5 linked regions of the Tribolium castaneum genome follow. The protein of the gene in region 3 purifies or fractionates together with the protein of the main gene of each other region. This does not show direct contact. Links are inferred from orthologs where the notes say so. Each region holds a gene or a part of one and is shown on either strand. Other genes may lie near its edges.

Region 1 (6,946 bases), about 15 Mb from region 3:
AACGAGTATTTTTTGCTATTTTTTATACTTTGCGCGCTCTTTTTCTTATTTTAATAAAAAAAATTATCCCCCCAAATATATTTGGGGCATAAGATAATTGGGGTCCGCGATATACACTCATTGTCTTAAACATTTTCTGTCCAAAATTTTGCTAACTTTCATAAAAATAGGCAATCCAACTGCTTTCCGTCGTATAGTTGGTTGAATACAAAAACCTCTAAAAATTATAAAATTTTAAATTGAGTTATGGACTAGGATCATAGGAATACGTAGGTAGCAAAATGCAAAGACTTATAAATATAAAATAAAGCTATTTAGGCAATCTATACAGTCCGTTTGAATAAATCAACTGATGCTCTCTAACTTTCCTATCTAAAAACACTTTCAGTTCCTGCAAATTGCACTCAATTGTGGGTCCTTGGAATGCGAACATTTTCAACATTTGGTGGATTCTCTCCAAAGGTAAAGTGTCCAAATTCATCAACATACCCAAAATGTACGACCAGAAAGTCTGTTAAAAAAAATAACATGTTTTCCCATAAACTTCAGTACAGATTGACCTATGATACTGAAATTAGGTTGGCAGCATTGACAACTGACTTTATTACCAACGTAATTTCAAAGTTATAGCCAATTTGTATAGATTTTTTACCTGTAATTCCTCTTCGCGTTGGTCTTGAGCGCTGGCCATCGCCGACTCTGATTCAAAATCTTCAACAACAATATCATCCTGTATATTATTTTCGTTATTTTCCTGTTCCTCCTGTAGATAAAAAACGTCGGGTTCGGGCTCAGTTATGATCCCGTGTGATTGCCAGAAACTCAGTTTGCGCCGTAAAATTGTCGACGGAACGTGCATTACTTTACTCAAAGCTTCCAAAGACCAAGTATCTTGAAACGAAAAAATAAGTCGCTTAAAATCTTGATCTTTTTGACTCACTCTGATCTTGGAAGTGCATCAAAATCGTCGCATGCACCGGTGAAACCGACAAATTCAAAGTCCTATCCGCCAATTCAATTTCAAGATCCACAATTCCTAAATGATTTTTCCAACACAGGGTTCTGCTACCTTTTAAAGTTTCAAAAGCACCAGTGTAACTCTCCATCTGTTTCACCAATTTTTCGTGGAGTTCAAGCTTCTCGTCCTTGAACGCTGGCCAAAACTGTGCGCTTAGGATCATGGCAGACATGGGAATATCATCGTCTGAATAACTCAAGTCTTGCTGAATATGTTGATTGATTCGCTTCGAATCGGCGATATCTTTCAACATAACTTCGCAAAAGTGGAGTTGGGAGTCACCAAAGCGCAACTTCAGGAGTTCAAGATAACGAATTTCTTTCTCGGTGTCGCAGGAGTATTGCGACAAAAGACGATCGGCTAATAAGGTGCGGTATTCGTTGACGAACAGCTCCTTACTGCCGTAGACGTTGACAAGCATTGAGATGATGTCAGAAGTGCGGGGAAGTCCCGAAGATTTGCCTTAATTTTTCGAGGGAATTAGTTATTTATATTATACGTGGGATAAGTCTAATTATTATTGGGAAGGCAGACAAAGCTTATTTGGTTTATAATTGTTGCTTACGTTTCGTCAACTTTTTGGGCTTCTTGAGGACAATAAATAATCATGTAAAATGTAAATGGAAAAAATCAGTTGTCGTTATTTAATAAATCGTTTAAAAAAGCAATTTTTCACATAAGCAGGTGGTTTACAGCACGACCGAGGGGAGAGGAGGGGAGGACATGAATTGCAAATATAGGAAATTAGCACCTAAACAAGTTAATAAGTACAATTTTTTTGTAACAAATAACTCAAAAATAAATATTTTTTTATAATTTAGTTTGCTGGTTGGTGACTAAGCACTAGAATTATTAAATTTAAATAAACTGTCACCGTAAGAAGAAAAAATCATTTGTCAAAAGTGACTATTCTCTGTTTCAAAACTATGGAAATGCCAACGTCGATTTCCCTCAAAGCGATAAAAAGACACTTACTGGGGACGACATCTACCGGATCTGGGGTCCACGTTTCCCAGTCTTCAACCCCCTCATCGACCGAAATGTTCTCGTCCACTTGCACGGCTTCGCCCCGGACCAGCTCTTCAGCTAAATCATTTGGGCCCTCTTCAGTCAAACTACCCACCACACACCTGTATTAAAAATTTCGCCCTATTTCGGAATTATTGTACACAAAGTGCCCCTTAATTGTGGAAATTTGACACTTAAATGTCATTCAAGGCCAACTACACTATTTATTGTCTTTCCGAAATTCCAGTTAGCTATGAAAATTTGACACTTAAACGTCAAATATGCCAACTAGACCATTTTTTTTTAATTATTAAACCTTATTGTGTCTTCCCGACTCCTTAAATACTGATGAACCGGTTGAGTAATTGTCTCTAGAAGCAGTCCACAGGGGTCCAAAATCCGCAATGACCGAATTGTAGCCACGTAAGCCGTCAGAACGTCAAACGTGCTTACTCCTGGATGTAATAATCTTGTTTCAATTGCTTTTTGCAACGACCGAGTTAAGTGGGGTTTTAGGTCGGTTTTTGGAAGGCATAGTCGAAGGTCGTCAAGGGCCGGAAGAGAATCAGGATATTCTGAAAATATTTGATGACAGACTGCCACAAAAACAATAATTTTTACCAATTATGATGTTAAATAACTGATCTATTCGTATTTTGGTGTAAGTGTTGTATAAATAATTGATTAGTTTTTTGTCAAACTCATCCATGGCCTTGACTGCCGAATTATGAAAGTAAATTTTTTTCAACCATGAAATAACAACCGTTTGAAGCCACTGAAAATAATTCGTATAATCGATTCAAGAAACGACTGATTTCTACCTTTTCTAGACTCTCAATGTGCGAATTATCAAAATTGTCTTTACAGATTTTCTGGATATGTGTCTGAATGTAACTATAAATTAAATCAGTGAGAGCCTGGCCAACTAACGGTTCCAATAAAGTCATCTTGCCCAATTTCCTAGACACAAATATTTGAGTAAAAAAATAAAAAACAAAACTATTTACTTATTAGTTTCTTCAAACATTTCACGACAAGAACAGGAAAATTCCTCTTGCATGCACACAACACACTCCCCACTTGTGCTATTTTCTTCCTCCGGGTCCTGCATTTTAAGCGCCGTTTCGTAAAAATTTACTATCATCCATTCATGATCAATGGGGAGTTGGGATAACAAGACGGCCCTAACGATTAATTTTAAAGCTTCATGCAGGCAAGTTTGATTGTACACTGGTTTAGTGAAATTGCTTGCTTCTCTCAACAGTATCAACTTGTTAATAATTAAATCGAGCTGCACATAATTGTGAAACAAAAATTTAACCACACTGTAGAACTCGTGAAAAACTGCCGCCTCGTTCTCGGTTTTCTTAAAGTGGGACCAAAAATCTGGGACTATTTCCTTCCTCAAACGTTCTTCTATTTTAATTATGACCAAATCCTGAATTTGCTGTGTTAAATTGAGCCTTTTGATAATGCTGATTGCCTCAAAAGGGGCAGAGTCGAAATCATTATCAGGGATCTTTGAAGGACTTTCTAAGATTGGAAAAGCTTCTTTAATCGTAATCCACGCACTTTTTAAGTCCAGGTTTTGATTATTCATTGTAAAAATAATAATTGCTGAACGTAAAAAACTGACAAACTTTTAGGTTCTGTTCCTAGAATAACACTTTTATAGAAGCGGAACATAATGGTTGGCAATGAATTCCTAGCTGAAGCCATCTAGCCGCATCATCACGTACTAAAAATGGCGCAAATTTAAAATAATTCCGATTACTTTATATTTTTTTAATTTTTGCTCACGTCAAAATGATGCCAATACCTTATCAAATACAATTATTATGAAAATTTCTTAATTGTATTTGAAAAGGTGGATCCACAGACAGCACAGATGGAAGAATTTTACCCAACATGACACGATCACATTTAATGTTAAAGATATTTATTAAATCCATTAAGTTTACGAAACTAATAGTCGTCACCGAATCGATGATAAAGACATACTTGCAATCAGCCAAACTGGCACCGGTCTGGCACCTTATGTTTGCAACTTCTGTCTATGGGAGTCTCCTCGCAGTGTGACTCACTTGCGGTTCGATCTCAAAAAACTCACTTTTGGGAAAAACGCACCTATCTACGTAAACCTTCTGGAGCTCATTACTACGTTATATTTTTGGAGATCATGTTGTTCCTAACCGATAGTAGGCAATAGTCTAACCTAAAGACGACACTTTGATCCACTATAATAATAAAAATTAACGTGATATTATAAAAAATAAACTCAAATTAAAATCAACAAAAATGGCGATTCAAGTAAAAAGTGAGTGAAAATAAAAATTATTTTTCTAATGTAATTTTCAATTTGCACAAGAAAATTCATAGTGTACGGTCATCAGGGCACTCAGAGGAATCGTTTGGTGTAAGTTTCAGCTTGAAAATCCAGAAGTAGTTAAAGTAAAAAATTACCAAGTTATACTTTATGTTTTATTACGTGGTAAAGTTAACAACACACGTTAACATACCCTTTATAAACGTTTAAACACCCTTTTTCATGAAAAGGTTGACACGAGAAGTGCATTTTTCAATAAATCTCACTGAAATTTATGTCGTTGACTCAAGGTAGATTTGTCTGTCCTTAAACATGTTCAATAATAATTAATAGCGCTCTAGAAGAGCAGGAAAGCACACAAAAAACATTAAAGTTAAAATTTAACACTTCAGAAGAGAGCATAATACACCCTAACCCTACTTTCTGAACTTTTGTCCTTATCTGGCAATAGCACATAATAAAGGTAGAGATTTCGACCCTAAATATCCTATCATAACGCTCTGAAAGGGCAGAGATGGAGACAAAATTCATAAAAGTGTAAATTTTGTCATTTTCGGGTGACAACATAACCCTACTTTTGAAACCTACCGAATTTTCAACAAAACGAAACAAACAAACAATGTTGCTATACGCATTGCGATACCACTAATTTTCGCACCAAAATTTCACATTGCCAGTTTCTGTTTAAATAAAAACATGCATTTTTATTTTTCCATTGACTGCATGCGAAACTTTTATAATTTTAGACGTTTATAGGCAAATACATTTGTCATAATTAATTTTTTTAGATCAATGCTGTTCTATTTTAAATAATTCTGTGTATGAATGTTTCTAAATTTGACGAATTTTTCCAGTGAATATTTCTGGTAATGACTTGTTTTAGACTTAAGTGACGTCACATCCGTGACGTGTCCCGAGGTTAGGTGTGCGGCGCAGGCGGCGAGAGCGCTTCAGTCGACAGCGAGCAATGGCACGGGTCAGATCGTGAGCGGGAAGCAGGAGGCGAGGTGAGTCGGGTCGGTTTATTTAAATTATTGTGTATTGTGCGGTTTCCTTCAATTTATTCAGTTTGTTACTTGCCGTTGTCGCGAACGGACGTGTGCTCAAACAAATCTAAATTTTCCGGTTTAAATTTTCAATTCGGTGACTAGTGATCGCGTTTGAGTGACACATTTTAAATACAGTAAATAAAATTATAATCAAACACTCAAATAATTAATTGCCACGTAATAATTTTGTCTTTAATTTCAATGAATGAAAGTGGCTTGCTCAAAATTTAATGCAAATAAACATTTTTTTTTGGTTTCATTTTTATTATTATTTTTTTTAATGCTACAAACGGTAGCCAACGTGGAAGCGATATGAAGGTAGGTGTATTTTATTGCTGTGTCGTATTTATTTATTTCACAAACCAATAATTTCATAAAACTTAATTGCAATTAAAATCTTTAAATGCGGTATTGAAAAGTGATATTTTGAGTGACACATTTTAAATACAGTAACTATAAATAAAATAAAACACTCAAATAATTTATTGCCACGTAATTTTGCCTTTAATTTCAATGAATGAAAGTGGCTTGTTCAAAATTAATGCAAATAAACCTTTTTTTTTTTTTCATTTATATTATTATTATTTTTTTTAATGCTACAAACGGTAGCCAACGTGGAAGCGATATGAAGGTAGGTGTATTTTATTGCTGTGTCGTATTTATTTATTTCACAAACCAATAATTTCATAAAACTTAAATGCAATTAAAATCTATAAATGCGGTATTGAAAAGTGATATTTTGAGTGACACATTTTAAATACAGTAACTATAAATAAAATAAACCACTCAAATAATTTATTGCCACGAAATTTTGCCTTTAATTTCAATGAATGAAAGTGGCTTGCTCAAAATTTAATGCAAATAAACATTTTTTTTGGTTTCATCTTTATTATTATTTTTTTTAATGCTACAAACGGTAGCCAACGTGGAAGCGATATGAAGGTAGGTGCATTTTATTGCTGTGTCGTATTTATTTATTTCACAAACCAATAATTTCATAAAACTTAAATGCAATTAAAATCTATAAATGCGGTATTGAAAAGTGATATTTTGAGTGACACATTTTAAATACAGTAACTATAAATAAAATAAACCACTCAAATAATTTATTGCCACGAAATTTTGCCTTTAATTTCAATGAATGAAAGTGGCTTGCTCAAAATTTAATGCAAATAAACATTTTTTTTGGTTTCATTTTTATTATTATTTTTTTTAATGCTACAAACGGTAGCCAACGTGGAAGCGATATGAAGGTAGGTGTATTTTATTGCTGTGTCGTATTTATTTATTTCACAAACCAATAATTTCATAAAACTTAAATGCAATTAAAATCTATAAATGCGGTATTGAAAAGTGATATTTTGAGTGACACATTTTAAATACAGTAACTATAAATAAAATAAACCACTCAAATAATTTATTGCCACGAAATTTTGCCTTTAATTTCAATGAATGAAAGTGGCTTGTTCAAAATTTAATGCAAATAAACATTTTTTTTTTATTTCATTTATATTATTATTATTTTTTTTAATGCTACAAACGGTA
Region 2 (6,069 bases), on a different chromosome or scaffold from region 3:
CATAAAAATTGTGTATTTTTTCTAGAAATTATTACATTACTACACATACTTAAGATTTTTATACCAAAGCATTTCTATTGTTTAAAGTTAAACAAATTATTCTTCTCATGTACAGAGTGAGTTTAAAGTATTTTTCAAAAAATCCTCGAACAGGAGGATTTTATTCTTAAAAATACTACATTTTGACACTATTGTAACATTTGTGACATTAGTTTTTGAGTATTGACGCAATTTTTAATTTTTTTAAATGGCAACACTCATTTCTGTTTACTAGTTTTGATGGTATACTTTTTTATCTTATCTTGTAACGTATAACAAAAAATTTAAAAATAAATTTAAAAAAATCAAAAAAGAAAAAAGCAATGAAAAAATTAAACACCTATTGATAATTACACATAAAGGACTTTATCTTTTCGATTTTGCTTAATTTTTTAACAAGCAATTGTTTGTCCGAAAACTACGTGTTATTGTCTTCGACAAGCCAAATCTCATTCATCGTTCGAAGTAGGTACTACTATGAGAAGTATCTGCTACAAACAGAAAGTACTTTGAACTGTCTTTTGTTCTCGGAAGTAAAGTATTTACTTCAAAAAAAGTAGCATTTACTTCCCCTGAAGTATTTACTCCACTATACTGTAGTATTAGTATTAGCATCTACTTCATTTTTATTCGAACCACCTAATACCTGTGCCACTAACCTCCCGCCTTTTTCGAAACATCAAACGTTTCTTCAAATTTCTTCAATTGTTTCCAAACAATTTTATTAACAAAACAACGGCACTAATTATAATCCAACGGTTTTAACATTTTTCACGAAAACAAACCTTTGGTATAACCACCACCATGACTTATCGAAGGGCCATTTCTTTCTTAATGCGCCAATATTATAATTAGAAAATCACTAAAAAACGTGAGTGGTGGGAATGTTCAAAATTTGCAATTTTAGAAAACACAGTTGTTAAAGTTGAGTTTCAATAATTTTTAAGCATATTGTGCCCACAATAAATATCCATGTGTTATTTTTTATAATACTTGGATCAAATGAATAGTGAAAAACGTTATAAAGAAGCATAAATCTGAGAGCAAAGACACTTTATGGGACCGTTAAACAAGCTGAAAACTTTCTTTATTTCTATTTACATCTGCACAAGACGAAAGAATACAAAAAAACTTACGGCGACCAAAGAGTTAGCGTTTTTTGAGATCGAATGAAACTTTTTTAATTTCATATTTCTTGTCGTGTTCATGTAAGAAATCTTCCAGAAACACTTCCATTATAAAAAATATATTTTAGAAAAATGTGTAGGTAATTTCTTCTTCAATACTGTTTTTCGCAGATAATTCTAACAAAAATAAAACTAATACTTTCTATACTTTTTCTAAGCACCAACCCTTCCCAGGTAGTATCCTTACAAATAATATCTCACCTTCAAAATTAATTTTTGTGGACTTCTCCATGGGACAATCTCACCGCAAACATTATATCAATCAAACACAATAAAATTTTATTTGGATAAACCAAAAATTGAGATGGTAGTCATTCACTCCGATTTTGGACTTAAATTTTATTTTTCCACCTGTTTGGATAATTTATTTAAAAGTCCTGCACTGGATTTAGTAAAGGAAGACATCGATGATGAATTTTTTTTCTTCGATTTGGTCCTCAGAGCTACCTTATTTTATCACTTGCGAATTTTTTAAACAATTTAAATGTTACCTATTTATTACATATTTGATTTTCCAGAAGAACAGTTTCGAAAGGATACATGGCCAAAGATGGATCAAACATTTGTCTTCTCAAAATTAAAAATGAACAAGTTTTAGTACCACTCGAGCCACATCTCGATATTTTACCCAAGGAAATGGACAAATTTTATTTAGCTACAAACGGATTTCGAGACAGCTTTGCCACACAAATAGCAAAACCAAGATTGACTTAAGTTAAGTATGTTAACTTTTCTTACACTTATAATTTGGTGGCATTCACAAGTGTTCGTTCATTTCGGGGCCAATACAATGAAAGAAACGAAATTAATTCCTTTTTATACTACATCGCCTATATCCATCATCGGAATACAGTGGAACTCGGTTATTACGAGCACCCAAGGGACTAGAGAATTTATTTGTTGTAACTTATAACAGTTATAACCGATCGTTGGTTCTAATCGAACATCGTTCTTATGGAGTAATTTTCAAGTTAAATGAGTTCTAAAGTTTGAAAGAGATACAGGAAATAAAGTATTAATCTATTTTGTTATAAAAAAGATATGTACATAATTGTGGGTACGGTTGGCGTCTGAGGATAAACTACTTCTCTTTGTCATTCATGCTATATGATGTAACTAAACATTCAGTCATAAATGTGTAAACAAATATGTAGTATTATGGTCTATAAAATTATTTTTCAAATGGATTTGGTCTCTCACTAAAACAATAATTTGATTTTCAGTTTTTATTAATAAATAATTCACAATTCTCTACCACAAATACATCCTAAGGCTCAGCTATGTTTGATGTTGAGGCCAACAATGTTCCGGTTTGTTTCAATATTTGTTGCAGACACTTTGTAATTGACTGGTGGAAAACCAACTGAGCCTAACATTTATTTTTTGATTGGAACCATGAATAAATTGCACTTTGTGCATGCACTACATTCAAAATAACACGAAATGAAAAGGTCTCAACCAAACTGTAGCACACATATAAATTAATAAATCATTCTTGCATACTCAAAAAATATAATTTAATAATTAAAAAAAAATAGTTAAAACAAAGAAATAAACAAGAATGGCAGTAACGGTTTTCATAAACGCTTCAACGTCCGTTTCTTGTCTTTAAGTATCTTCTTTTTCTCCGCTGTTAGTTTACTCTTATCACTGGCGTGCTTCTTAGCCAGAGGGCCCTCCCCGCTGCAACCTTTTGAAATTTTTTGGGGCTAAAAAACCAAATTATAGATCTATTCACTGATTTTGGCTAAAATTCACCTGAGCGTGAATTTCCGTCATCATTTTGGCCCGCTGTGAGTAGTCTTCGTACTGTTCGAGGAGCAGTTTCCCGGCTTCTTCATTGAGGGCTGATTCGGCGTTGGGCACAATGAGGAGGCATTTAATGGTCTGAAAAAGCGCAATAACCTCAAAAACACTCAAAACCGGAACACCTACCAGTAATATGTGTTTAATTCCGAGATCTGACTTCCAATCCTTTTTTAACGTGTTGACGCAAATCTCGCCATTGGCGGCCACATTTGGGTGGAAAATCTTCGTCAGAAAGAAGGCCTTGGGCGGCTCCTGAGGGAACCCCTTGCCCAGAGTGAGCTTCACCTTGAAAACGCCCCCCATATACGGCGTCCCTGCAACAGGAAGCTTGCACAACGTTTCCAGGACAGAGGGGCCACTAACCTGCAGGACCGTCAATGTACGCCTGAATATCGGTCACATCTTCGTCGTTTATTTGAACTTTGATCCCTTCGGGAGGATTTGAGACTAGATCTTCCATTTCTTTGACCACTCGACGGATGATCTGGGGCGAAAGATTCTCCACATTGTTTGACATCTGAAAACGGAAAAAAACGTACCAAAAACGACTCCACGAGACGAAATACGACGACTCACTGCTCCGGCACTTGCCCTTAATTAAAAATATCACAAGAAATCGACTAAATTGGCGATTTCACGACGCTAAAACAACCTGACAATCGTGATAACAAACATCAAACTTGGCGTTCTAGAGAAAACAGATGAACAACGAAATTTGAATTTTGCCACCAATCACATGCGTTTAATCTCGGACCCGGGGACGGCACACCGAAAAAACGCCAAATGAAACTCAAAAAAAAATTTCTTTCGCCCTGCACCACGCATACACACATTCAGCGACGAAAAAAGCGACGGATGAACCAAAAAATCGTTAAAATTAGCGCAAAAAGCGGTTAGAAATTTTTTGAAGCGACACCTGGCGACAGTTTAGTTAGAACATTTAAAAGTTGATTTTAGCCACTAAACCGCCTAATCTTAGGAAAAAATTAAAACTTTGCATTAACCACATTCTACAGGGGGTAAAAAAAGTGAAAAAAACGCCCAACAAAAGGTAAGATTGCACTTAAAGAACATATTTTGTTTCAAAAGCGCCCTCTGGCGAGTTAACAAACGGACTAGACGGTTAAAAAATCGGTTCTCGCCAATGGTTTAAAGACATAGTTGTGCCGTAACTCCTAAAACTAATCAATAGACGGCGCGCGAAAACGTCACTGAGATGGCACTTTTGAATTTCATACGTAATTTTTTGCTACTTTGTGTGACTTGGAGAAAATTATAATTGCAGGACAATGAAAATTTTAATATACGCCATTCCAAAGATATGTGGCCACACTTTTATTGCGGTAAAAACTATTTGCCTCTCAACCTCTAATCAAAAGTAATCCGTTTCTTCCTTGAAGTCAGTTTGATCCAAATTCAAAGGGACTTTAGGTCGCTGTTTAAAATAGCACAATTGTTCAAAGAACAATTTACACTAGTGAATTACACTATAGGAAGTGGATGCAAAGAAAATGAAACTGCTGTTATCAAAAGATCTGAGAGAGATAAGAATAAGTATACAGAAACATTTTTAACATTTGAACGAAGCGATGAATTTATTGTAACCTAAATAACATTGTCGATTTTTATGGATGACTGATGGGCAACCAGATTTACAGTCTATATTATCAAGTAAATAAACAACATTTAACCTTAAAAAAATATGAAAACTCAAAAAGCACACAGCCGGATTTCTAGTTTACATACCATAGGTGTCATATAATGGAGGTGAGTGTTTAAATAAAAAATAATATTTTTAAAAAACAATTCGTTACTGTAAACTATCATGCAGTTTTCCGATTTTTTGGCCACTTTTCAATTATTTTTAGAATCCCTATCACCTTTCTTTTTTGTCGCTCATGTTTTTAAATGGTTTTACAACTGAAATCTTCATAAAAGTCACCAACATTGTTTTACAATGTAAATTTTCCCAAAACACGATATAAATCGCATGTAAACAATGCAATAATACGTTAGCCATCTGGCTGACGAAGCAATATGGCGGTTCTCCCACTCCTCACAGAGTCACAACGCAACCATGTCTATACTAACCTTGGTTTTCGCACTTTTTTCGGTACAATCATAGAATAAGAGAGAGAGGGTACAATTTACCAAATTAATTTCGATTTCTTGGCACCGTCATGTTTAACAATTTGCTTAATTCGTCAAATGCAAAGTTTTTTAATTACTCCCTCGCTTTCGCTTCGGTGGATTAAATTCGTAAAATTTTTGAAAATCAAAACAAATTTCGGCCATGATGTGACGTCATGACCGACGCACCAATCAGAGGTTTATTTTGGTCCCAAATGTGGCTGTGTGATCCAGTGATCGCGTCAGAACAATAAAAAACCATAGAATAAGAGAGAGGAAGAAGCGAATCTCTCTGTCTACCCCTCGTTTTTTCGCGAAAGCGCCACCTAACCCGGGGAGAACGAACTAATTCGATAATAGCGGGAAATTCAAACAGGACATTTTATTTATTTTCCAAATTTAAAGAATTATAAATGTTAAATGTTTCTGTACTCATGCACTGTTACGAAACATTTTAATAAAAAAGCATCTGTAACAGTTGCAATAGCACAAAAACATTTAACATCCCTTAATAAAATGAAACAAAGTCTTTCCAATAAAAATTTATTGAAAAAATAATAACGTGCTGGAATGTATAGGCAAAATTAATTTAACTCGAATTGTTCTTCATAAACATACTCAGATGTAATAATATGTGTAAATACATTGTCTAAATATACACAATGATCCAGAGAAACTGAGTATGTTGGCATCAGATTAAATTATTGAATTGCTACCTGAAAGTGTACACTATTGGTATCCTTTAAAATTTAAATTCAGATTGCTAACAGACACAGTATTTCGGGATCAGTCTGTATAAATACATCAGTTTTGTTGGTTTGATTACTTGTCTACAGACTGTTCAGAAAAGCAAAAAAATATCAAAATTTTGCTTGTAACCTTTGACAATAGTCCAATTTTTAAG
Region 3 (6,393 bases):
AATTTAAACATCAATTTTTAAAAAGCTAATGAGAAATTTAAGAAAGATTTTCAACTCAAAATAAACGTAACTCCTAAAATGCGTTATTTTATTATGTACTATCACAATTTCGTTAATATGTAAATTTAGATTTCTAAATCTGAACATATCCATTTAAAAAAATTATTTTGTGAAAGGCATAATTTAGCCGAAACAAATCCAGAATTTTTTCCACAAACTCGTACAATCTGTTAAATTTGATAACAGCACACTTAATTGTAAACTGTTTTTGTTTTATTAAATATGTTTTTCTACTAAAGAGAACTTTTGTGCAACTACTTTTAGTAAATTTTTAGGAGTTGGCAGTGCTGGGCTGGATGTCATCAGTCATCACTATAATTTAATGTGTGATCTGTCAATAGTGTCAAGTCGGTTATTGATAAAGACTGAATAATTAACAAAATTAAGAAGAAATAGTTTGAACAGATTTCGATAAGATAAACTAAACAAAAACACAACAAAAATAAAAAGTAGAAAAAATAGTATATTACACTCGTTTTATAAGTCTTAATTGTGGCAGTCATTATGCTGGAGCACTCCTTGGTCGTGCTCCAAAACCATTTGTGCCACAATAGAACGTCTTATAAAACTCGTATAATAATTAATAATACACTATTTTTGTGTTTTTTTATTCAATTTACGAAAACAGCTATTTTTTCTATTTAAAGTAAATCAAACTAAGTCTTCTTCGAAAAACATTAATGACAATTTTTTTATATCATATGGTAAAGAGAAAGGTATGAAGTATAATTCAAGACTGAGAGTAGACTTGGACATTTTTTTCAAACACAAGAAAGACATCTCCAGAGCAACCGAGAACATTCTACCTAGGCAGAAAAAATACGAGTTCATTCCATATCTAATTTTCCATATCTTCGCTTGGCAAAATTTCTCGAGTTTTTTCATTTTGTAAATAAAAACAAATATTCCAAATCATGCGATTTACTCAGTGAGAAGAAAACACTCACAAATTTAGAATTTGATAAAAAATTTTGTGCAAAAATCCATCAAAAATAACTTACATTACTGGAGGAATCCGTCCGAAATCTCAGCAACTTGGTCCTCGACGTGAAGGGGGCGAAGCCCGACAGCCACACATTTTGTGTAACAATTGGATTATCATCAGGTGTACACAATTTCGAATTCGAAGTTACGACATTGGGGCTAAAATTCACAAGAATCTGTTGAGGAGTTGTGGCGTATGTCTCTTGATTATCTTGATTTGGATTGTTGTTTGTTATAACAACACTTTCGATATTGTTAATATTACTTCCCTGGCACATTGATAAATTTTCAACACCTGTTATTTGGAATATATTTTGGGGGTTTGGTTTATCTCCTATTTTGCATAAATTTTCGAAGCTTGACCATTGAAATGGATTTAGTTTTAAGGCTCGTTTCCATGCATCTATGGCACGAGGTTTTCTTTCGGTTTTGGCAGCTATGTTACCTAATAAAGATAAAGCGAATGGTGCTTGATCACCGTATTCTGATGTGATGTCGTCGAAATTCTCGGAGTCATTGCTGCTCTTATTGGAGTGTAACAAAGCTGCCTCGGCCTCAGCATATCTGTAAAAAAAACATTATTGAAGCTATGCTAAAATTAAGTAACGATAACTGTTACAACATTGTGAAAAAATGATTGTGTTTATAAATAATAGAAGGTTACGAAGACTAAATACTAAATAAATGATCTTCTGTATCTAAAAAATTAGTGCGGTAGAGTAAAAATTAGGGCACATCGAACGTTAAACTGCCTGGAAAAAACGCAGTAACATTGAGCGTAATAATTAATAAATAATAATACTTATTAAAAATTAAAAAAATTTTGACTTGTCCCATATTTTTCAAAATGCTGAGAAGAGGATTAAGAAAACAAAAAAACAAAGAAAGTTCATCAAAAACGTTGAAGCGAATTAAATTTCCTACTAAAAAGTGCACAATTTTAATTAACGGTGAATTTGATATAAGATATAACCTATTAGTTGGTTACATAAATAATCTCAGAAATAAGAGTGTACAATTAAATAATACTTCAATACAAATATTATTTAGGTAATTTTTTTATTATTATTTCTAATGACATTCTGAAATAAACAGTATGTAATTATTGTTGTTTTGTAAAAAACATATATAAAAATTGTCGTTAATTTACCACAGTTTATACAGTGTGGAATTTTTAACTGAAATAAAATTCATAACTAGGATATAGGCAATTTTTGTAAAAATTTCAGAAACAGGTGCTTTTTGTTTTTTCTTGCCCATCATTTAGTCGATATGGTTTTTATTTATCTGCTGTCAAAACCTCACAGCCACCTCCAACTTTTTTTCTCAAATGTAACGGTATGTCGTGTGACACCTCATGTAAAAGAGCACTTCGAAAGCAGTACAACGCATTATTTGCTTTCTAAATATTGTCAATGCCCAAGTGATAAAAAATTAAAGTAGTGTGGAAATATTGACTAAAATAAAATTTGTAACTTGGATACAAGCGATTTTTGTAAAAAAATCCTGACACAGGTCGATTTTTGATTTTCTTTGCACATCATTTGGTGCGGTTTTTGTTTATCTGTTTTCAAAAATGCCCAGCCACCTCTAACACTTTTTTTTTCAAATGTAACGGTTATGTCAAGTGTCACCTCATGTGAAAGAGCACTTTGCAAGGAATACAACCCACTCTTTGTTTTCTGAATATTTTCAAGGCCTGCGCGATAAAAAATGAAAATCAATTTTTATAAATTAAAATTAGGAAAATCACACTAGAAATGTTAGAAATTCATGCTACTATCGTCATGTTATTTCCCAAGAGAGGAACGGTGCCCATTTTGAACAATCAAATCAAATAATGTTCAACTTATAAAAATTGGTTCTTATTTTTTTTATCACGTAGGCTTTGAAAAAATTCAAAAAACAAATAGTGCGTTGTAATGCTTGCGAGAAGAGCTTTCATACGAGGTGTCAGTTGACATACCGTTACATTTGAAAAAAAAGGTTAGAGGCGGCTGTGCATTTCTGACAACAGATAACAAAAACCATATGCATCAAATAGTGGGCAAGAAAAAATAAAAATTGATCTGTTCGGGAATTTCACCAAAATCGCCTAAATCAAAGTTATGAATTTTATTCCAGTTAAAAATTACCCGCTGTATGTTGTACAGGGTGCTGCATGTTGGATGTTCGAATACGGGATCTCCTAAGAGGTATAGAGAAAAACCAGTGACATATTTTCGAGTCAGTTTTTTGAGAAAATAATTTCGCTATCTTTTTTTGTTTTCGACTTTTAAACACTTATGTTTATAAAAAAAAATCATATCTTCCTTAATATAAAAGATACACATTTAAAACAAAGACATTTTTTTTCAGAGAATCTAATAATGTTATCAGCAATTTTTTTCAACTATTCGTTTAACTGTAATAACATAAAGTTTTTATGATATTTTCGAAAAGCTAATTTTTTTCTGATCTGATATGTCTATTTGTGTAATACATTAATTTTAAATATTTAAGAAAAAACAAAACATTTCGCTTTTTCTTTATAGTAGGCCATGAAAAAATTTTGGATTTTTAATTAAAACTATGAAAATTGTATTACCCAACAAGTATTTATAATTTAATGATTTTTTTAAACACTAATTAATTCAAAAACAGCACAATAAATTTTTATTAGATCAAATTTTTGCAATTAATAAAAATTATTTGTTTTTATATTTAAAATGGCAAGCTTACGTTGTCATTCTATTTTCCTATTGTAAACATGAAATGTCGGAAGAAGAAAAATCTTATTAATTGTATGATTGCTTATCAATAAAATTTTATTTTACAAAAAAATATCAATCCAAACACCAAAATCAAATTCCATCTGCGGTAAAAAAAATACACAACATTATTAACGTCACCTCCTTTGCACTTTACTAAATCATAAAAAAGTGGCATCAAATGGTAGTGATACATTGTTTGAAATTTTCTGCACATTTCTTATGTAATTAAAATCCGCGACGCTCGTATATTTGTTTAAATGAAAATAACTTTAACACAGCTTATTTTTATAATCACATTTTTTACTTTAATAAACGTTCACAAAATTTCTAGATTATTCATACCTTTTATGTGAAATAATTTTTCCATGGCCGACTACTTTCAAATATTTTAAATATATTTTTATCAAAAATATATAAAAATATCAAACTATATTTATATTGTTTTGAGTTCAGAAAAAAATTAGCTTTTCGAAAATGTCATAGCCAACTATGATTCTCATTTAAAAAAATACAACTATGTTATTACAGCTGAACGAATGATTAAAAAAATCGCTGATAACATTATTAAATTCTCTGAAAAAAAATGCCTGTATAATGTTTTTGTTTCAAATGTGTATCTTTTATAATAAGGAAGATATGATTTTTTAAGATTTCGCTAAAATGTCCACTTCTTTTTATAAGTCGACAACAAAAGACGATAGCGGGATGCGGTTTTGACCAAAATTATTCTCTCAAAAAACGGAATGTTTCACTCGTTTTTCTCTAAACCTCTTAGTTTTGGAGATCGCCTATTCGGACATCCAAAATACAGCTTACGTTTTCTAGTGCACTAACTATTAACAAAGAATTAAAATTTTATTCAGCTTTCTATACACCTTTTTCAACTATGTTTCAGAAAGAGTCAAGTATATTTCTGAAAAAGGCAGTTATAATTCAGATTATATCCCATTTTCGTTCACAGTACAATTTTACAACAACGCATTTACATTTTTTTTGGAGTCAAATGGAGCAAAATTTAGAGTTTCTGGTGGGTTTTCTTAGATCAAAACGTGTCACTGGGATTTATTTTAACACAGAATTCTTTTCTTATACAGAATCTCTCAATTTGTGCTTTATTTTTCACACCAAAAAATTCAAATGCACTGTTGCAATTCTACTATGAACTGAAATGGGATATAGTAAACTGTATTTAAGGAAACGTTAATTGTAATTCAGAAATAAAATTTTAAATATTTTGGGTTTAAAATTTAAAATACAAAACATCAAAGCTATGTTCTTAATTATCAGTGCATTTCTTAGTTTAGCTTACGTAAAAGCTTCGTTTTAAAATTGGTACACTGAATTTCACTTGAACTTTTCTTAAAAACCTACTTACAACTGAAAAAAGTAAAATATGAATTACATCTTACTTTTTCTGAAATACTATTAACAGATCCGAATTACAAGTGATTTTTACAACTACTATATTCAAAAAATATACGGGGTGTCTCAAAATTGGCGAATTCCGAGATCAGAGTGTTGTAGAGAATCACAGTAGTTTAAATGTAGAAACAAAATAAAAATTCGAGGCTTCCCACAAAGTTACATTGGTTGGAAGAAACACTTCAGGTGCACTTTATTTTGCGTTTTCTTTAAATGCAGGCTAAAAATTTCAGTGTTGATTGTTGTTTATGATCCAGATGATTGTGGAAAATATTTTTTGAGAAATTGTTTTAAATGATTAATAAATAAGAATAAACACTGAAACTTTTAGCTTGGATTTGAAGAAATCGCAGTTCAAAGATTAATCTTTAAACCAATGTATCTTTGTGGGGAAGCTCCGAATCTTCGGAATTCACCAATTTTGAGACACTCTGTATAATTTAAAAAACGTTTTTAAAAAGAGCATTTACTTAAAAGAAGCACTAAAAAGTAATAAATGATGTTTAGTTATCACAGGAGAATATATTTTTAGTAACAGATTAGATTCTAAAAATTATAAAAGCTTTAGGAGTGTCATAGTCGTAACTCATAACACTACGGCATTACCGAATTTTTGCTTTGTTTAATTGACCTCTCCCAAAGCTTTTTATAGGAAATATAGAACAGACAGCAAAGCAAGTTAAATAAAGCTTTTAAAAAGGAGTCATATTACAGCTGTATACGCATTATCGGAAACCAAACAATCATAATATGTATTTTCATAATAGAAAACTGAAAATAATAACAATTGAAGTCCAAAGGGTCCAGCTAGTTAACTTGGAAAAATTCATTTGTTGGAAAAAGTATGTTTAAAATTCTATAACTCATTCCACTACCATATCTAAACATTCGTTAGATCAGTAGCACCTTATGTGAAGATATAAGAATAAAAGTTTTGAATGAGTTTTATGCAGTTTTTTATGCTTCTTGTAAAACAACTTATTTGAATTTTGGGCCCTTTATTTACTGTAATAAATTGTTTGCAATTATTTCATCCCGTTGAATTTGTGTTAAGTGCTTTATTATTATGTTGCTATTTAGTAATATATGTTGTTTCCTTTATAAAATTAATTATAAGTATAGTTCACTGTTTTATAATCAACTGTCAGTGTCAAAATTCTGATAAAGACCAGAC
Region 4 (7,193 bases), on a different chromosome or scaffold from region 3:
TCAACATCTGGGCGAAGCCCGGGGCTTTAGGGACGTGAAGAGCCATTTTTGAGACCGATTTATTTTTTTATAAGCGAAATATTAATAATCGAAAAAGTTTGCACAACAATGGACATGTGAACTTTTGGTGACTAATTTGGTGGGTTCAGCGCCACCAACATGGGCAAGAAATAGAACCAAATGGCACGGCTGCTCATGCATGCGCATTGGTTTACGCTCGCTTTTTAAAATTCGGGATCGGGAAAAAAAACTGTATTTTAACTCCCGGCAATCCATTACAATCCCGGCAGCGTCATCAGCAATTCTCGAGGGTCTAAGCATGCAACTCGCATACGTTCGTTGCATAACGTCAGTCGTCGAGCTTTAAACTTGTGTTTTTGCACTCGTATTATTTATTTATTTTTTAATCCTCTTTAAGTGAAATGTCGAAAAATTAAGGCATTTAATTCACAGAATGGTAATTCTTTGTTCGTGAGTTGGGCCCAATCTTACCTTCGCATTTTAAATTTTCCGAAATTGGATTGGCTATAAATCGGCGCGAAGCACCATCCACTCATATTCAAATAATTCTCCAAATTTGATAATTCTATTGGCCAATTTGGTGGGACTGCTTTTCTATTGGCCAAGTGAAGCTTGCTCGTTATTGGCTGCCCGTCATTAATTGTCAGTGTGACGTTCAGGAACTGCAACGGAAATTTTGACCGTAGAATTTTTGTCGTTTTATTTTTTAATCGGTTGTGGAGACTATTCACTAATAGTTTTAATAGTTTTGGTGCCTAGTTTAAATATAATAGGTGAGTAGATAATCAATGCCCGAATCAGATGAATTAACCTAAAAAAGGCCCTTGAAATATCAAATCAATTTTTTGTTCTTCACCTATCAGTGACCCTGTTGCACGTTTCTAACTTCCAGAAAAATGGGAGACGAGAACAGGATCCGTTCGTTTAAAAACAAGGGAAAAGACTGTGAAGTGAGTATCAATCATGTGCAATTTTGCGATTTTGAGACTTCTCGTGTAGGAAATGCGCCGCCGACGGGCCGGCCAGACCATCGAACTGCGGAAAGCAAAAAAGGAAGACCAGTTGTTGAAGAGGCGCAACATATCGTTGCAAGAAGAGGCCTCAACTCCCCTTCAGGAGAACAACTCCGTGTCGCTGATCACCATGTCTGCCGAAGAAATCTTGATGGGTAATAACCCCACTCCCGACTTGCCCCATTTTAATGACCTGATAACAGGAATGATGAGCCCTGACGAGAACCTCCAGTTTAAGGCCACCCAAGCCTGCCGCAAAATGCTCAGCCGCGAGCGGAACCCCCCAATCGACCACATGATCCGCTTGGGGGTTGTCCCGCGATGCGTCGAGTTCCTGGGCAAGACCCACAAGTAAGCGAGAGCCTAGCCTTGCATCTTATTAATTTTTTTAAACAGCCCATCGCTGGTGTTTGAGGCTTGCTGGGCCCTCACGAACATCGCGTCTGGCACTTCCGAGCAGACCGCAGCCGTGGTCCAGGAGGGCGCCCTTCCTAAGCTCCAACAGCTGCTCTCCTCAAACCGCATCGACGTCGTGGAGCAGGCCATCTGGGCGATTGGTAACATTGCAGGTGATGGGCCCGAGAGCCGCGATTTGGTGCTCAACTACGGCGTTTTGCCCAGTCTTATCAACTTAATCAAACCAAACACTACCTTGTCCTTGTTACGCAATACTGTGTGGGTTATTTCTAATCTTTGCCGCAATAAAAATCCGTACCCCGATTTTGAGTTAGTCAAGCCGGCTTTACCCGTCTTGGCGAGACTTTTGTCGCATGACGATAAGGATGTTTTGGCCGACACGTGCTGGGCTTTGAGTTATTTAACCGATGGTAGCAATGAGAAAATTCAAGCGGTGCTTGACACCGGTTTAATTGACCGCCTAGTTATGCTTTTGTATAGTGAGGAAAGTACCGTCCTAACTCCGGCCTTGAGGGCCGTTGGTAACATTGTGACCGGAAACGACCATCAGGTATAAGGCCACTCAATCAATTGTTAAAAGTATTAATAATTTCGTTTGGTAGACTGATATGGTGATCAATGCCGGGGCTTTAGATTGTATGATCCGTTTATTGCAACACAGTAGACTGAACATTGTCAAAGAAGCTGCCTGGACAGTTTCAAACATTACTGCCGGAAATAGTGAGCAAATCCAAAAAGTCCTAGATGCCGGGATTTTGCCTTATCTTCTTCACGTCCTACAAACCGTATTGTTGCCACGCTTTGTCCGATTTTTCCTAAAACGTGACTTTTAGGGCGACTTTAAATCGCAAAAAGAGGCAGCTTGGGCTGTTACTAATTTCACAAGTGGCGGGAATTCCGCCCAATTGGCGCAACTTGTGGAAATGGGGGCGTTGAAACCCATGTGTAATCTCCTGAATTCCAAAGATAGCAAGACTATTATCGTGGTGTTGGAGGGATTGAATAACATTTTATCGGTGAAAAAAAATTTGTGTTGGAATTTTGTCTAATTGTCGATTTTAGGCCGCTGCCAAGTTAAATCAAGCCGAGAAAGTGGCCATAATGATTGAGGAGTGTGGCGGTTTGGACGGTATTGAGGCCTTGCAAAGTCACGACAATGAGAAAGTCTACGAACGGGCTTTGCACATTATCGAGAATTATTTCGCCGATGTGAGTTATTTTGTGGGTAAATTGTTTTGTAATTTGAGGTTTCAGGGTGAGGAGGGAGTCACTGTTACTGTAGCAAATGGGGAGATTCAGTTCGCTACTCCTAATATGGCCGATCAACAACAATCACCCTTTTCCTTCTAAGTTTCAACCGATGCGTTTAGTTCATTCCTTATTGTGTTAGTGACACGTTTTGTATTTTTATAGTCTGTATTACGATATGTTCCCAGTTTTCGAAATAAAAATTATGTTAAACCTTGAAATTAGTTTTATTTCACATTTATTTATAAAAAATACAGCTTCTTTCACATCCTTAGCCTCATAATTTTCTCTAAGGTACTAACGGAATATTTGTCTTGAAGTTTAAGCATCACTTCTAATGGATCACCTTCTGCACTTTCCCTAAATGGTATATCGTAAAATATCACATACATGGCTAGCCTATTCAAGGTTTCTTTATCAAAAGCCAAGTCGGCGCCCCTTGTATACGCTTCTAAGGCGGGGGCCAAGCCAGGTTCCCAATCTTCTAAAACTTCTAACATTTGTTGCTTTATGGCCAACATTACTTCCGGTTGAATTAAATTACAAGCTAAGGGAGTTGATATTATTTGTGCAAACAGCAACTTGACTTGCCAAAAGTTCAAGGCGTTTGGTAACAATCTCATATCACGAACGACCTGAACATAAAATCATTATTTAATAAATACATGAGTCTTGACATTACCTTTAACAGAAAACTAATAACCGGTATGACAACAAGTTTGTCTTTCACGACAGCGTCGTACGTCGCTTTAGTCAGCATTCGTGTTAATTTCAATTCTTGCGGACTTAGTTTATCAGTTGAGAGAAAATGATCACAGAAATACTTAATAGCTTGGTCGTGTGTGAACGAAAGGATGGACGACGATGAAGGATTCCACGGTACAGTCTCAGACTGAGTTAACGTTTTGGCCAACTGGCTGTGATAACCCAATTTATCGGCAATGTAGCTCAAACAGCCCGCCCTTTGCTTGACTTCAACGAACCCATTAGTCGAGAGTATGGTTCTAAAAACCAAACATGACTGATTTTTCACGAAGAAATTAATTTACATGAGAGAATTCCAATTTTGGCTCCTCTTGAAAACCACAGGCCAATAGCGCTCGTCCTCAATCGCCACTTCTTTCAACATACTGAGGTCGGGGATAATCCCGGGTGCTTTTACGAAACTTTTCGTACCGTCCAATTTAACGACACTCAAAGAGGCGTAGCAACATTTACCAGAATGAACATCTTTTGGTATTATTAGACGCGGCTCAACCGCCAGTACGTACAAATGTCGGAAGGCTTGAAGGTGATACCTGGAGCAATATTACATATTTTTCCTACTTTTACACAACCGTTTCGTTACCTGTTATCGTTACTATGAGTTGGAAATTTCGGGTAAAAAGCACATATTAAGGCCGCAATGTTCCCCGGAGAGTTAGATAACGTGTATCTCCCACCCCCCAAAAACAACAAACCTAAGGCCATATGCATTGCCAGGTGTGAACCGTACGTGACCACAGAACTGCTAGCTACACCAACTCGGCGGCGTAAAAGTCGCACAAAACGCATGATTTCAAGATTACCAGTCCCCGCCATCACCTTTAACAATTTTTTTTTCAAATAAAAACCACAATTAATCGTCACAGTACCATCGCGCTCGATAATAGCAGGACATTGAGACAGGTTTCAACGGTCGGTTTCCCGGCTAATTCAGCTATGGATTTGATCGTCAGGTTGGTAAACATGCGGCAGAAGTGGAGCAAAGTCTGGAAGGCGTTTTCGTCCGCAGAACCCGCGTACTTGAGACCCAAGGCGAAGCAAGCTCCTGTCACAATGTTACAATAAGCTTGGCTAAAATCACACGGTTATTTCCTTAAAATCGTACAAATCACTAACTTCATAGCTTCAAAATCAATATCCAAATTCGGTGATGGTTTTAGCATACAGTAGGGCCTGATGGTACCCGGCACTTGACCCTCGACCCATTCCTTGCTCGGCACAATATCATCCCAAAGAATCAAAGCTGTGGAACAAAAAATCAAAAATTTTCAACGTGATTTTGAGGGACAACCTCGCGCCAATATCCGAAACATTAAAAAGTCAGGACGCACAAAATCAAGCAAATATTGTGTTTCAGGCGGCGCCATCCAGTCAGCTACGGCCTTATTGCCAGTTCCTAGATACATAAGGCCTAGAGCTATCGTGGCCCCCGGTGCTGTCACGTCTAAATTAATGGAAGAACCTTCCCGGATTTGAAACGACGGTACTTTGTATTTGTCTTTCTGTGCGCCTGTAAATTATTACCAGTTAAAATGTTTGATTTCATGTGGTCATGTACCGGTTAAGGGACGTCGGTTACCACCGACCATGTAATAGTGCAAGCGGTCGGAAATATTCAAGTCTGACAAGCCCAGAGAGCAACTGCCTTGCTTCAAAGTTACTAGGCCTAGCGATAATCCGGCTGCAAGTGAGTATGATTCCCGGTCGACGCTGTTTTCCATCTCAGGGCCTGGCGGACGCCCGATTTCGGATAACAGGACTTCGATAATGTGGCGGTGCGAAGTGCCTTGGTAGACTAACCCAATGCCTTGAAATAACACAAAGTAATAATAATTTTAAATGCTTTTTACCGACCTAGCAATGCAGCAACTTGCACATTTTGGTGCACATCAAGCTCCATCGATGTCGGGGGCAGCATAGCTTCCACATGTATACTCAAAGTCTTGGTCATTCCCAAATCCGAAGTGCCCCTAAAAGCCGCAGACATCCCAAGCAAAATCCCAATACTCGTCATTTCGTGCAACTTAATCAAATAGTCATACGTGTTCAACGCATCTAAATTTTTCAAATGGCCATTCAGGCCCAAGGCCATTAAAAACCCGGCATGTTCCATCTGCTGTTCCATCGAACCCTTCGGTTTGTTGAACACAATCCACGTATTGTCCACATTGTGCGCATCGGGATTTATCCTCAAACCGTTCGCCACACCGTTGTGAAACAACGGCCACAAATTCATATTCGAGGGCGTATCGATGTGGTTTAGCTCAACTGTCGTGCCCCGCGGGGGCGCCTTCCCGGTCAGGCACAGTGGCGGTGTTTGCAGCGGTTCGGTCACAACCGGTGCCGAGGTTCTCAAAGTGAACATCCCTCGGCCTGTTGACAGGGCCATGGTTCTGGTACAGATCGCAAACAAGTGTTTTTCTTCCTCTTCGATAAAATCATGATCGGACACGTCCGGTCGTTGCACAAGGACAATCGGGACGGGTTTGGAGCTTTGCAGCATTTTCCGGGCTTCGGCCACTCGCATATCGTCCGGAAAACGCAGCTTGGTTAAGGGGTTTTCAATGTCGTCCATTCCGTCTTGTTGCTCACTTTCGACCGGTTTGGACGTAAGGACAATGCCTGGCAGTTCGTGGGTTGTGTACATTCCTATTTTCTCTAAAGTCGTTTCGGGTTTTTCTTTGTGGAATTTGTGCGCTTGAACAGCGAGGTCATCGCGCCATAGTAAGTAATAAGCGTCTGAAGGTAAGTCCGAGGGAGGGTTATCTCGGCATTTCCACAATGTGCTGTATATTAGGAGGTAAATCGCTGGAGGTAAAGTGTCCAAATCTCGAACCGTCATTTTTTTCGATGTCATTAAAAGAAGTGTTTGTTCCGGTGGCGAAAGCTCAGATGGTTCTTCTTGAAGAACTGGGCTACCGTTAGATGTGATGTTGGGCTCTATGAGCTTAAGCAAATTGGCCGGCTTGTGGCCAAGTTCTTTAAAGATGATGCCGCAAATCTATTAAAAACAACTCGAATATTTTACTTGAAAAACTATTCGTTTATCTCTCACTTTCACTTCTTTAAAAACTAAATATAAATAAAAAAAACGCAACAGACGAGACTTACCTGCACGATGTCCTTTGACTTATTGTTGACATGATTTACAAACGGATAGGGCGCCACTTCCCCTTTTTGCATCAAATGGCACAAAAACTGCATAATATTGGCCGGCGTTTCGCCAATAAACGGATACTCATGTACTTGTTTTAACTCATTTGGTGCGATATATCCGTTCGAATTTAACGAGAAACAATCGGGAAAATCTTTCCAGTAGTGCACCACATACTCAACCATCCCTAAATCGCTGGCTATCTTATTTAAAAAAATCGCCAACAGTTTCAAGTCATCCGATCGCAACACATTCAACTTCAAATCTTCATACAACAAGTGTAAACAATACAAAATCAAGCGAATAAACGGGAAAAGGAGCGAATTAACATTAATTTGAAGCGTCCTAGTGTGGCTTTTGGGGGGATTTGAGTTGCATTTGAGGAGCAACGTATGTTTGAGACACTTGTCTAGTTTCGTTGCATAGTCCGAATTGCTTAAATACAACCAATCCTCGTCCGTCCCGGCACTTGAGTGTTTCTGTCGCTTGGGGTTACTGCAAGGTGTTACGGGGCAGTCCTCAGTGTTACCAAAATCTTGCTCGTAACCCAAAAATTCTAAACAAGAAAATAAAAC
Region 5 (5,261 bases), on a different chromosome or scaffold from region 3:
AAACGTTCCTCCCATCAATGCCAAGAGTTCTGAGGCTTCGTTTGCTGATCCTTTAGTCACGGAAACAATATCGAACGCCTCGACTCATTCTAAAGCCTCATCAGTTGGATCCTCAGACAAAGACAGGCCCTCTGTTACAATTAACACGTCCGGTGTTAGTCTTAACAAAGGTTCCGCTGACAAAATCTCTCACTCAGATACCACCCAAGCTAGTCAAGAGACTATCAAAACGGGGTCAACGGCACCCTCCGGCACGTCAGTGACCACGCCAGAGGGGACACAAAAGTCGTTACAATCAATCTTGTCAAAGAAAAGTATGAGTCGGACTACACTAACAACCAGCAAGACTTCCAGTTTAGGGATAGAATCGTCAGACATCACCATGAGCTCAAGTCTTTATTCCAATCAGTTGTAACAAAAATTTCAAATTCTAGCTTCAGGTAGACGCAGTAGAGCTTCCTCGAAACGAATGAGCAGCATATTTAAACGCCCCTCAGTTCCTGAGAGCACCATCAGTTTTCGAAACCCGTTGGACGGTAAAAAGCCCATAATTCTAAACCAAATTTAATTTGAAACCTCAGATATGACAAACGCCGCTTTGGTTAATGCCGTAACGGAATTAGAAAAAAGTGCCAAACATTTGGAGCTGGAAAACATGGTTTTCCTCCACTTTTTGGAAAAAAACGAACCGTCACTACTCGAAGGTTTAAAATAAACTATAAAATTCTACATCCACAATCACTGTCGGGAAATACGTGATTGCATCCCTTGGTCAAGAGGTTTATTTGAATAGCAACTAAATGCATCAACTTTTCTGTATTCGTTAATTTAAACAAGTGTGATTGTGGATAAAATAGCGTACAAAACTCGGTAGGAATTTCATTACATCCTCGGGCTTCGTCTATCCTCGAGGCTAATGAGTAAAAGGTGAAATATATACACCACAAAATAAAAAATAAGGAAACTACAATAACATAAAAATTCACCTTAATCCTAATTAACATTTAAGTTTTCTGCAGTTTTTATCATTTCCAGGTAAAATTAAATTAATAAACATTATATTACATTGCTTAGAACGTCTGCAATTCGATAAATAGGATTGTTCTGTAGTTCTGAATACAGAAAAGTGATTTATTTTGTATCTCGTTCCCGTAATTTGAATATGAACACGTATTAAAATATTCCCACCTCGGCTGTAATGACTAAAACATGGAAAGTGCAGGTATGGATAACGTGTTGAAAAACGTCCAAACAATCCAGGACCGTGCCTCGCTTTCTTCCAAAAGACTGACACTGACGAGAGCTTCGCGCCAGTCAACAATTTTGTCATACTCAACAAGTTCCATAACCCCCACAGTATTAGAGAAAGAAGGACCAAGGTATGATTGAAAAATTTATTCAATTATCATCTACATAAGTTATTATAAGATTTTCCCCATCCATAATAACACCATCACTGATCAGTTTTTCAAGACCGTCCGCCAGATTTTTCGAAATTTCACCACTATCTTGTTTAAACAATCTTAATTTTTTTTCACCACTCTTGTTATTATCATTCCTCAATTTACACTCACTTGCAATTGCATCGATTGCGCGCCCCAAACTCCAAATTTTTGAAACGAAAACGGGGGTCACGTGCCCCGTTTCAGGGTGTGTAACATTGAAGTAAACGCGGTCTGAAGTTGGAATACTATTTAACCCCTTCGCTTTATTTTTAATTTTCATGAGTTGTACTTTGTTTGCCAAATTTTTACCCTTCTTTTTCGCCGCGATTAAATTTTGCTCGATTTGTTTATCAACCGCGCTCTTAGCTTCATTGAACTGCCTCACAGGCGCAGCCAGTTTCTCCCTTTTTTGGGCGAGAGTTTCCTCGTCTGGCTCGCTACACTGGGTGATATGCCGGTGTTTTATACAGAAATGTTTACGACAAGTGGAGCAAAGCAAAGGGACCAAACTAGATTCGTGACAATTTTCGAACGAGCATTTGAACACGTTTTGAATTTTTTGTGGTTCTACCTCAACATTCGTTGAGGTTTCACACACTTGGACGTGTTTGTTGAAATGTTCCGAGCAAAATTGTTTGCCGCATTTGCATTGTAAAGGGAGAAAATCTAACTGCTGGCAGTTTGAATGGGCGCATTGCTGACCTAAATTGGGGAGCTCCATCACTGGTGTTCGCTTAGTGCACTGAGGGCAATGTCGGTCCACTTTTGTTCTTGCTCCTGGAGGGTTAAGTGGATGTCTCCGGAGTCGGCCTCGGGGTCGGCGAGCTCGTGCGTGGGGACGTTGATATCGTCGTGAGGCAGCTTCTCGGAACGCCACTTATCGTCAATTAAATCAACAAAGTAACCATCAATAGTCACTGAACTGTCCATTCCTAGAAAGTGGGGTTATGGCAATTTTACACAAAAAACCTAACAAGAAATACAAATATTCTGCCTTAGAATACAGCTGTTAAAGGCACTTACTAAATTTGGGAGCACAGTGATTCAGCAAATTGCCAAAATGAACACAAATAAATTTACCTCCAAACGTTTTTTCTAGTTTCTTTTAGTTTTGTTCTAAATAATTGGCGACGCTGTGCCTGGCGCGAATTTAAATTTACTGATATTTATTTTAAGAATCAATATTACGCAGAAGACTGATTTGATACTGCGAGAAATGGACAATATTCAAGCAGCGTTGAATAAAATCAACAGAAAGTGCTACGTTATTAGGCATAAATTGAAAGCAGAGTTGGAGGAAATGGCAATTCGCGAAAGTGAAATACAAGAAATCAAAGATACGTTTGAAAGAACATTTATTACTAACGAATTATCAGAAAAGTATTCGCAAAAGAATCCAGCGGATCGTTTTTGTCGGTAAAGACATCCCCACTTAAAAAACTAATTTTAAGACTGTGGTGTGCCGGACAGGTTTATGGACGAAACTTTTAAAAAAACTGGCGCTACGATTGATAAACTGCGCCTAAGGACGAGCTCTCTAAAAGTGCAGTACCAGAAAATATGCGCTCAATTAACGCAGAAGAAGTTACTGGGCGAGCACTTGCAAGAGGTGGATTTTGAGCAGCTCGAAATTGATAATAAGCACTTGAGGGAGAAAATCGATAAAAGGAATTTGCTGCTTCTCGAACTGAAAAGAATGAACGGCCGCGCGAATTTACTGCTGAGCAATCAGAAGAAGCATCTGCTCAAGAAAGTGACCGATCTAAAAGTGTATCAAGACACAATCAAAATGCAAGAGGAGTTGGTTCGGAAAATCGACGACGAATGTGAAAAGGTTTCCGAAGAACTGGAGGCAACCAAGGAAGAGCACGATAAAATTAAAACCAAGAGTGAAAATTACGAGGTTCTTGCTCGAATTAAGCAAGTGAGTTTGGCTATCGTACCTTAGGTTCCTTCTGTTTTAGAGTATGTGAAAAAGAAAGCTGAGTTGGGCTTGCTGAAGAAAAATCTAAAGATTTGGGAGAGACGGAAACAAATCAAAGAAGTATTTGTGCGTGCAAGTGGTGTTCGTTTTTAATTTTGTTTTCAGATGGCACTTACTGCCTCTGTGAGGGAAATGAAACACGCGACGGGCTTACCAGCTGCCAAATCTTCTTGGTTTATGTAAGTCTGTGCCGAATTTGATTCGGTTTGAAACTTTTGTAATTGCAGTAATCCTCATGATATGCATCGCGGAAGAGGGTCAGTTGAAAGCACATTTGAGTTTATGTTTGAACGCAAAATGAGGCTTTCGCTGATAATGCAAAAGAAGAAAAGTCGTCGTCGCAAGACGCAGTAATGTAATTATTTTATAAAAATACAAAAAACGTTGAAATAATATGTGCAACTGGTCGGTCGTTTATTACTACCAAAAAAACTAAAACATGTAGGTATAGGAAATGGCAACAGAGAACATTGAATTGTTTGAAATAAATTGCGGCAATATTACTAAGCTTTTAAATGGAAATATTAGATGAAAGGCTGCATTTTTGATAAAAGTTTGTTTGAGCTTAAGAATAATGCATATAGTTCTAATTTGTTCCAAAACACTAAAAATCATTAAAATAATGTAACTAGTTGCGTATACGTAGTTGTAAAACTTGTCTTTACCCGGCGCCTCCACCATATATCACAGGGAAAGATTAAGAAACGTGAATGGTTTTAAAAACGCGGTTTTCAGAAAGCTGGGGTTACCGGAGGTTGTAAATAAATTGACTGTCACAAATAAAATGCCTCAAACTTTCTGCTTATTTTTTTATTTAAAGTGGCCGACACTGGTGCAAGTTATTTAACTACCAAAAAAGTAATAAGATACAAAATATTAACAAAGATCGGTTTTAGTAGATTATGTAGAATCAGAGTCATCAGTTGAGTACCGCCTTGTGGAAGAAGAATTATTTGTATTAGAATTTCCTGTATCTCTAGATGATTGACGAATTATTTCATAAATGCCAAAACCAATTGCCGCAAGTCCTGTTGCAATACGCAAGGATTGAAGAATTATCGTTTCTGTTGAAAGGGATTCTCGTGAAACGAGGCTCGAAGACTGTGATGGTCTGAACTGCTGAAGACTCACTTGTTGATTTCTTCGTCGTTCACGTTCAAGTTGGCGATCTCTATCAAAATCGAATCTTTCCCTGTAAATCGAAAACCGTTCGTCCATTTTCTACGAGATATACGTAGAGATAATTATAGTTATACCTACAAAAACATTAATTGATGTCCTTACCCTGATAAGCCTTTGTTCGTATCTATCATACACGAGACTGCTTCCTAATAATCTAGTATTATGATAATTGTCAAGTGCTCTTGTTTTACAAGATTCGTGGTGATTATTAAGTAATAAAATTGAGGAAAAATTATGATGCATTTGTCGATCATATAGTTCAAAAGAACTTTCAACAGCGTCGTTATGTTGATTATTTATTGTCGCCTGAAACATGTGGCGTTTTCTCAAATTTTTTAAACTGAAGCGCTTAATTATACCGCTAGTCTTGTTTCAACATGTGGTAAACCATCCCCAAGTATTTCAGTATACGTGCCAAAACATTGAAATAAATCATTGGCGGTGATCTCTTCTCCGTTAAAGCGTTTTATTACCAGGTTTTCTGGTTCAAAAATGCGTTCAACTAGTTGCTTAACGTATCGCTTAAAATTGTCATTAATTTCTAGAAATTAATCATTGGTTAAATTCAGTTTTGGAAATATAATTATTTAGAAACCATTTAGATCTCCGTTAAAAGTATGATCGGCCGCTACCCGCTCTCCAGGAAATGG

The links.
Region 1: the proteins of Cdc27 (region 3) and mr purify together in Homo sapiens (affinity purification with western blotting; 20 studies listed by BioGRID and IntAct, with this or other methods). This does not show direct contact. The link is inferred for Tribolium castaneum from reciprocal best matches to the Homo sapiens genes CDC27 and ANAPC2.
Region 2: the proteins of Cdc27 (region 3) and ubiquitin-conjugating enzyme E2 S purify together in Homo sapiens (affinity purification with western blotting; 4 studies listed by BioGRID, with this or other methods). This does not show direct contact. The link is inferred for Tribolium castaneum from reciprocal best matches to the Homo sapiens genes CDC27 and UBE2S.
Region 4: the proteins of Cdc27 (region 3) and shtd purify together in Homo sapiens (affinity purification with mass spectrometry; 16 studies listed by BioGRID and IntAct, with this or other methods). This does not show direct contact. The link is inferred for Tribolium castaneum from reciprocal best matches to the Homo sapiens genes CDC27 and ANAPC1.
Region 5: the proteins of Cdc27 (region 3) and anaphase-promoting complex subunit 13 purify together in Homo sapiens (affinity purification with mass spectrometry; 5 studies listed by BioGRID and IntAct, counting the BioPlex papers as one, with this or other methods). This does not show direct contact. The link is inferred for Tribolium castaneum from reciprocal best matches to the Homo sapiens genes CDC27 and ANAPC13.

The regions. Positions count from the first base shown.
Region 1 is NC_087394.1:29,187,338-29,194,283, reverse strand, and holds mr (anaphase-promoting complex subunit 2), read right to left. Parts: upstream 3,722-6,946; 5' UTR 3,627-3,721; coding exon 3,034-3,626; intron 2,987-3,033; coding exon 2,848-2,986; intron 2,802-2,847; coding exon 2,648-2,801; intron 2,602-2,647; coding exon 2,343-2,601; intron 2,149-2,342; coding exon 1,994-2,148; intron 1,481-1,993; coding exon 941-1,480; intron 892-940; coding exon 653-891; intron 512-652; coding exon 311-511; 3' UTR 292-310; downstream 1-291. UniProt on the Homo sapiens protein: Together with the RING-H2 protein ANAPC11, constitutes the catalytic component of the anaphase promoting complex/cyclosome (APC/C), a cell cycle-regulated E3 ubiquitin ligase that controls progression through mitosis and the G1 phase of the cell cycle.
Region 2 is NC_087395.1:19,970,795-19,976,863, forward strand, and holds ubiquitin-conjugating enzyme E2 S, read right to left. Parts: upstream 3,906-6,069; 5' UTR 3,612-3,905; intron 3,553-3,611; coding exon 3,399-3,552; intron 3,350-3,398; coding exon 3,162-3,349; intron 3,114-3,161; coding exon 2,985-3,113; intron 2,936-2,984; coding exon 2,804-2,935; 3' UTR 2,438-2,803; downstream 1-2,437. UniProt on the Homo sapiens protein: Accepts ubiquitin from the E1 complex and catalyzes its covalent attachment to other proteins. Catalyzes 'Lys-11'-linked polyubiquitination.
Region 3 is NC_087394.1:14,529,875-14,536,267, forward strand, and holds part of Cdc27 (cell division cycle protein 27 homolog), read right to left. Parts: intron 1,609-6,393; coding exon 1,062-1,608; intron 1-1,061. UniProt on the Homo sapiens protein: Component of the anaphase promoting complex/cyclosome (APC/C), a cell cycle-regulated E3 ubiquitin ligase that controls progression through mitosis and the G1 phase of the cell cycle.
Region 4 is NC_087397.1:4,707,502-4,714,694, forward strand, and holds the end of shtd (anaphase-promoting complex subunit 1), read right to left. Parts: intron 7,175-7,193; coding exon 6,576-7,174; intron 6,466-6,575; coding exon 5,319-6,465; intron 5,272-5,318; coding exon 5,023-5,271; intron 4,975-5,022; coding exon 4,756-4,974; intron 4,708-4,755; coding exon 4,581-4,707; intron 4,536-4,580; coding exon 4,334-4,535; intron 4,284-4,333; coding exon 4,048-4,283; intron 3,998-4,047; coding exon 3,749-3,997; intron 3,704-3,748; coding exon 3,382-3,703; intron 3,335-3,381; coding exon 2,963-3,334; 3' UTR 2,908-2,962; downstream 1-2,907. Other genes in the region: CCT8 (T-complex protein 1 subunit theta), read right to left, coding at 1-46; Pen (importin subunit alpha-5), read left to right, coding at 918-971, 1,021-1,385, 1,431-2,001, 2,054-2,236, 2,285-2,467, 2,514-2,660, 2,706-2,801. UniProt on the Homo sapiens protein: Component of the anaphase promoting complex/cyclosome (APC/C), a cell cycle-regulated E3 ubiquitin ligase that controls progression through mitosis and the G1 phase of the cell cycle.
Region 5 is NC_087396.1:19,124,490-19,129,750, forward strand, and holds anaphase-promoting complex subunit 13, read right to left. Parts: upstream 2,603-5,261; 5' UTR 2,469-2,602; intron 2,378-2,468; 5' UTR 2,376-2,377; coding exon 2,166-2,375; downstream 1-2,165. Other genes in the region: uncharacterized protein LOC100142251, read left to right, coding at 1-392, 441-536, 582-704, 1,223-1,379, 2,622-2,861, 2,916-3,348, 3,394-3,489, 3,535-3,608 and 1 more; AN1-type zinc finger protein 1-like, read right to left, coding at 1,399-2,166; atlastin, read right to left, coding at 4,330-4,650, 4,714-4,917, 4,971-5,152, 5,207-5,261. UniProt on the Homo sapiens protein: Component of the anaphase promoting complex/cyclosome (APC/C), a cell cycle-regulated E3 ubiquitin ligase that controls progression through mitosis and the G1 phase of the cell cycle.